Linked DNA regions of Ovis aries. The protein of the gene in region 1 purifies or fractionates together with the protein of each later gene. This does not show direct contact. Links are inferred from orthologs where the notes say so. Each region holds a gene or a part of one and is shown on either strand. Other genes may lie near its edges.

What was found.
Region 2: the proteins of NCBP1 (region 1) and THOC2 purify together in Homo sapiens (affinity purification with western blotting; 3 studies listed by BioGRID and IntAct, with this or other methods). This does not show direct contact. The link is inferred for Ovis aries from reciprocal best matches to the Homo sapiens genes NCBP1 and THOC2.

Annotation. Positions count from the first base shown.
Region 1 is NC_056055.1:49,985,616-49,989,134, forward strand, and holds the end of NCBP1 (nuclear cap-binding protein subunit 1), read right to left. Parts: exon of another isoform or gene 2,005-3,519; coding exon 1,891-2,004; 3' UTR 185-1,890; downstream 1-184. UniProt on the Homo sapiens protein: Component of the cap-binding complex (CBC), which binds cotranscriptionally to the 5'-cap of pre-mRNAs and is involved in various processes such as pre-mRNA splicing, translation regulation, nonsense-mediated mRNA decay, RNA-mediated gene silencing (RNAi) by microRNAs (miRNAs) and mRNA export.
Region 2 is NC_056080.1:107,651,540-107,655,058, reverse strand, and holds part of THOC2 (THO complex subunit 2), read left to right. Parts: intron 1-121; coding exon 122-301; intron 302-1,352; coding exon 1,353-1,517; intron 1,518-3,519. UniProt on the Homo sapiens protein: Component of the THO subcomplex of the TREX complex which is thought to couple mRNA transcription, processing and nuclear export, and which specifically associates with spliced mRNA and not with unspliced pre-mRNA.

The DNA of each region.
Region 1 (3,519 bases):
TTCATTTTCAGATATAACTGTAGATTGTTAATAAGTCATAGAAATCACTGCTAAGTACTTTCCAGGAAAAGCAAGCAAACTTTATCTTCATTTGAACTGCTTTCTGAGTAACTCCTATGAGCTTTAGAGTCAAGGAAAACAAAAATTATGTTTACTTGGACAAAAGCATGTTAAATGGCATCAGTGCAGTTTAAGAGCATATTGATTTATTGCAAGGTACGATGTACAGTGTGACGTGCTGTTCTTGTCTCTGTGAGCTTCATTTGTGGGGAGAGCGATTGTTGAATGTTTGTTTCTTCAGAATTCAATCTCTGGTTTGGTTTTTCCATATACCTAGTTTGCCAGACTGGGTAAGAGCAGGGTCACATTAGTGAGCAGTTGTTAGAAGCAACCATTACATGTGAAGAGAGGGTCTAAGAGGAAGGAGGTGGATCAAGTAAAAATGTAAGTAGCCACACTTTGCAATACATTATGAAAGGATTACAAAGCAGCCTAGGGTCAGAATTACCAGAGCCTTAAATGGTTATCCTTTAGCTTCTTGAGGACAGGAGCCATTTCTAACTAATTACATAGTTTGTGGGAAGGAGAACAGTATAAACAAAAGAACACTTAGCTAAGCGCTTGGCTTTTAGTTCCCTGCCAGTAACTTGCCATGCAGCTTTAATCTTGTGATTCTTTGTCTTAAATGGTATGGTGTTTTAAAATCCTAGGAATTTCCATCTACTGAGTAGACTATATTCTGTAGCCACTAAGTATATGGTAAACCAGAGAGACCCCGTATATTATGCACCATAAACTTATGATGTACTAAGTTTAAAAAAAACACCTATATTGTATAAATGAACAAAGCTACTTCAGTTGTGGGATTATTGCTAAATTTTTTCAAAGCTTCAATGAAATAAAAACTAAAAATGCTAGAAACCTGGAATGTCAGAGAACCCCTTGTTATTTTACAATGTACTTTTCTTATCTTAGTTAAGCCTCAACACCATATAGGAAACAGGTTTAGGAATTAGTAGTTACTTGGACCTGATTCCACAGAAATAAAATCCAAACCTACATCTAACACTAGGCTTTAGTCAGTCTAGCTACTTTTAAGTCACACTTTAACACGAAATTCACTATATGAGCTTGGACAGATCTGTCTCAGGTTTGAGATCAGATATTCTAAGATGATAATTCCAAAACTTGTCTGCATATTGCAATTACCTGGGAGCCTTAAGAACTACCTGATATGTCTGTGTTTGAAAGACTGGTTTAATATTAATTTAAAAATAACTTTAGAGAGTCCCAGGTGATTTATATTCAGATTTAGGAATTGCTACTCTAGTAACTTTTTAAATAGTATCTTAAAAATACTACAGTAATTAAAAGTATTTTGAAGAGAAAATTTCAGATGGAGGTATTTTACAAAGAAATCACTAAAGTAGACTGAGATGATAAATCATGAAATACCAAAGTTTAAAAAACATTTTGTTTTATTTCAGCCATGTTAGGTTACCCATGAGCTGTGAAAAGCTATGCTACTTGATAATAAATTCATCAGTTCTATATACTACCTGGTAAATAAGCTTGACCCTCTAGTGTTTCACATACCTCAAATTAGTTATCTTTTGTGCCTTAAGGAGAAAAAAATATCAGAAAAGTTGTATTTGTCACATATATGATACATCCTATGCATTATCACATTACTGTCATTAGGGAATATCTGCTTTTTAGGGGAAACTAAGGGTAATCAATACCATATTTCTTCACTGTCCTCTCTCTGTTTCTTTTAGAAAGTGACAGGATGCTACAAGAAAGCAAGCATTCAAACAATCAAAAATAAGACAGATTATTTTGAGCTCTTTAAAAAAAAATCTTGACAGGAAAGGGGAAAAAAAATGACCCTTAGGCCTGCAGGGCACAGAACTGCTGGAACACAGCCAGGATGTGGGGGTCTAACTCAGCAGTGAAGAGCAGGTTCTCCAGGGTCACCATGTACTGGTGGATTGTCTGGTGATGCTGTAGACACAGAGAAGGGGGAAATGTTTAGGTTAGGAAAGGGAGTACACAAGCAATCTCCCAAACATTCCCCTAAAGCCTACCCACGTTGTGGAGTGATGCGAAAGAGCAGAGAAAAACGGTTTAGCTGCTAGGCATAATAACCCTGGAAAGCCCGAATATGGAGAAAATGTAGGGGGAAATGAAGAAGAAAAAAATGATGGTCAATAATTTAAAAATTCAGTTCTGGTCTGTTTCTATGCAATTCATAATTCACGGCCATGGCAGCACCACCTGCTACTATTCTAGATGAGTTCAGCTGGTTCTTTCCCCTAACTGAAACTGAAGTCGCTCAGTCGTGTCCGATTCTTTGTGACCTCATGGACTATAGCCTACCAGGCTCCTCAGTCCATGGAATTTTCCAGGCAGGAGTTACTGGAGTGGGTTGCCATTTCCTTCTCCAGGGGATCTTCCCAACCCAGGGATTGAACCCGGGTCTCCTGCACTGCAGGCAGATGCTTTAACCTCTGAGCCACCAGGGAAGCCCTTCCCCTAATTAGGACAGAGTATATAGTATGACTTTTTAAAAGTTGCCCAGACAAGGGATGAACTATGAAGAAATTTTGGAAATCATTTCATTTTTTGGTTAGGGCATTAAGCAAAGAGATGTCTTAAGAAAAAAATATTTAACCTATTTATATTTCAGAATTACCCAGTGATCTGTTAAGTATTCCACAAAACAGGAAACCCAAACCTCACTGTTTTTTATCTTTTAAAATAGAGGTTATCTGTCTTACTGAAAATCAGTGACTTACTGAGCCTAACTGGAAAAAATCGTCAGAAAATCAAAGTTTCTTCTATATGTACATATATAAACTTTAATATACTCAGATTCCTATAGGATCAGGGTATTGACAATAAATAAGCCTCCAACAAAAAATTTACTCTAGATTTTTCAAGGAACTATTTTCCCCCCTTTAAGCCTTCTGCTTTAATCACACTCTTGTCTAGAACAAACCGATAAGGATTTGCTTGGGGTGTTGGTGTCTGAAGATACCACTGTACTTCAAATCTAACTTAAATCTAACAGAGTATGTGTTGCGGTCTGCTTTCTGTAAGAACCTCAGGGAACTTACTAATAGTGCCTCCAGAAGCACTGTTATCATTTGAACTTTGGATTTAAAGAGGTTCTTAAAATCTTATTACTCTTCCCTTAGCATTTTTTTATTTTGTGTCACAGCTAGGCTCTCCAACAAAGAGAATGGCAATTAGGAGTCTGAGTGATACAGAGCCAATTTTAAGCCTAAATATTCTGATGAGCAATGGTAGGAACAAATGGACACTAACTAAAGGGCTTACAGGTACCATATAACCTAACAACTTTGATGCTTTTTTAAAACGGAGAATCCCTGTGGCTGAGGATGTGCTGTGTTTAGTGGCTTGGTCGTGTCCGACTCTTTGCGATCCCACCAGGCTCCTCTGTCCATGGGATTTCTCAGGCAAGAATACTGGAGTGGGTTGCTATTTCCTTCTCCA
Region 2 (3,519 bases), on another chromosome or scaffold:
GGTGTGTGAGAGTTTTTATCTTCAGGATTGTAACCAAACCTTTCCTGTTTTCTTTTTTCAAATCAGATGGCATGTGTTATGTACTGGTACACTAGTAAAATGTATGTCTTTTCTTTTGCAGGGTGGTTATTTTGGTCAGATAAGAAACACGAAAAAATCCTCCCAGAGATTAAAGGATGCACTATTAGACCACGATCTTGCTCTTCCTCTCTGCTTGCTTATGGCTCAGCAGAGGAATGGGGTAATCTTTCAGGAAGGTGGAGAGAAACATTTGAAACTTGTGGGAAAACTCTATGATCAGGCAAGTTAAAGTGGCCTTTGTGTTTCTGTGGGTTTTTAAATCTTGATAATGGAAAATATAAAATGTTATGTAATTTGAAAAATGTCATTTTGCTCATCATATATGTTATATATACCATGGTATATATATTATATATATATTATGGTATATATTATATATGGTATATATTATGGTATATGATGTATATATAAAATAGATATTCTGGAAATAGGGACAATTTCTGTGCAAATTATGATATTTAAGAGATGGCTCTAGGGGATATAATAGTATAAGGTTTTCAGTCATTTTTGAAAATTTTATGGTAATAAACTTGCATTTATAATATACACAAGTTTAGAACAAAAACCTAACAAAATGTGAATAACAATAATCATAGATTGTATAATGAACCCTTGATCAGTTTTAAGGTCTAACAACTTTACATGGTGATGTTAATTGTATCACTCTCTAAAAATGTATTATGTGTTCATGGGCAATAACATTCAGGTGACAAAAGACGTAGTAATACGTCTCTAGTCAATAATGCATTAAGCACTGAAACCTATGGCTAACCTAAAAAATGTGTTTAACTATCACCATATTACAAGGTAATTAAAAAATCACACGTGTTTTATAAAATTTTCTACTTTTAAGGGCCAAGAGAATTGACTTGTATATACATAATATTGTTCTATAAAATTTAGGTAAATATATTTTACCACTAAAAGTGGTGAACTTGAGACCCTGGTCGACTATCAAAACACCCGTGGCGGATTCATGTCGATGTATGGCAAAACCAATACAATATTGTAAAGTAATTAGCCTCCAATTTAAATAAATTTATATTAAAAAATTCTCAAATTAGTTAACTTTTCAGGACTTGAGTGTATTTTTTGTAATATGATTAAGTTTGTGGATTGTCTCCAAAGTTCTTTCAAGTAGTAATATTTGAATTCTTAATTGTTAATCAAAATATTGTTAAAAAGAACATCTTAGTCATTTTGGAAAACATTACGTTGGTTTAATAAAATGTTAGCACATTTGTGTTTTTTGTCTTATTTTTTAAATTTAGTGTCATGATACCCTGGTACAGTTTGGTGGGTTTTTAGCATCTAATCTAAGCACAGAAGATTATATAAAGCGAGTGCCTTCAATTGATGTGCTCTGTAATGAATTTCACACACCTCATGATGCAGCATTTTTCCTGTCTAGGCCAATGTATGCACACCATATTTCGGTAAGTATAAGTATTTTTGCTGCCATTCCAAGAATGATTCCACATTACTTCTTAACTGTTTTATTTGTAAGTGCATTGTTTGACATAGGTTATTAGAGAGTTGCTCTTTTGTTAGTACTCAGCTCTGAGCAGTGGTCAATGAACATAACCCTTTTAAAAAGGAAAGTCTTTCTAGTTCTATAATTTTACTGTTGCTACACTACCAGTTGTCCAAGTTGATATCTTGTAGGTCCTCTAGAACTATAGTTTTTAAACATTAGTGCAGATCATCAGGAAATTATTAGAGAACCACCAGGGAAGCATCTTAAAAACTTAACCCCATGTCCATAAATTCTGATTTAGAAACTTGAATGCTACCAGAGAATTTTTGCTTTGCTTTTTTTTTTTTTAAATAAGACTAGATGATTCTGATGCAGATGAATGTGGCATATCATTCTGAGAAACACCCCTAGAGAGTTTCCTTAGTGACAGTTATCCTTGTCAGATAGTTGACTTGCTATTACACATACTGCCTTGAAAGAAAAGGCTGAAAGACTTAACCACCTCCAAACATTGTAAATACTTCCGCACTCTCTGTTGTGTAACTTCTAGGAAAGGTATATTCATGGTTTCTATTTTATTTCTCTCCACCTAAATAAAAAACAAATGAAAACAAACAACAACAAAAAGCAAATCCCCAAGTAGGTTATCTCTTTAGTGACTGTACTGAAAATCAAGTAAGGATGTGGGGTAAGAGGAGAAAGTCCTTCCTCTTCTTGTTTATCTGCCATCTGGACTCTTCCCTTCAAAGCCATTACCTCTAATAGGAATCAACTTTTCCTTTTTCCTCAGGGCCATGGTCAGTCCTCTGTTTGGAAACTATGGTCTTCTCCACTCTGACTGGAGTCTAAGCATATTCTTCATTTTTGTGTAGGCTTGGATTCTAGCCCTTCTGTTTATCTGTTGTTTTTAAGTCTGTACTATGCAAGGCTTTCATTACATATTTGAGGAAAGATCTTGGTTCCCCTATCTTTAACTAGGATCCCTTCTTTTTTCCAGTAGGGATACAGGGCTGTGTATTAGAGTTTGGCAAAAGATGCTGAGAAATTTGGGATCTAATTGATCATTTGATCAACTTATTAGTCATAAACCTAGCTGTTAGTGTTTACATATCAACCCGCTACAGTCTCACACTTAACTTCTAACAACTAACTAAGTGTTAATTGATTCAACTATTGCTTGCAATACTGTGCTTTACTCTCTAGAGGGAAAAAGACAATAAGGGAGTAAGATTGGGCTGTTGCTTCTCCTTCAGACTCTTCTCAATCCAGAAAATTTATATTCTCTTTCTGTAGTTATATTTTGTGTTGTTGCTCCATCCCCAGTATATCAGTCTCAGCTATACAACAGGGGACCTGATTTCTTGAGGGACTGAGGTGGGAGAATTGCTTCATCTCAGAAGTTCTGACCTACCATGTACTATACTGAGAAATGAACACACTAATCAGTGATATTGAACCCTAGCAAAGAGAAAAACTTGGTTGCTTGACGTTGGCTGAGTGTTTCCAGGTCAGAATATGGAGCAGATCATTCATACCAACAGCTACTTTTTCCATAGCCTGTAGAAAATATTGCTTAAGAGATAAAAATATCTAAACGAAGAAATGTCATTCCCCTCTCAGGGTTGAGAGGAAAACAGAGAACTATAGAGGTGGCTGTACAACCAAGTCAGGGGTAGGCCACATACTACCCCCTGGAAAGGGAGTTCCCCAGCAACCTTGGTTGCACTGGATTGGGCATCCAAGCTTCCCTTGGGATCCTTACTTTGCCTCTTGCAAAAGCCCCTCTTGAAGAACCCCCCCCCCCCCCCCCCGCTCTTAAAAATACCTATTTTGTTTCTTGGCCATGCTGTGCAGCATGTGGGATCTTTGTTCCCAGACCAGGGACCATACCTGCATGCTCTGCATTGGAAACGTGAAGTCCCAACCACTGGACTGCCAGATAAGTCCCTTGAAGAACCTTT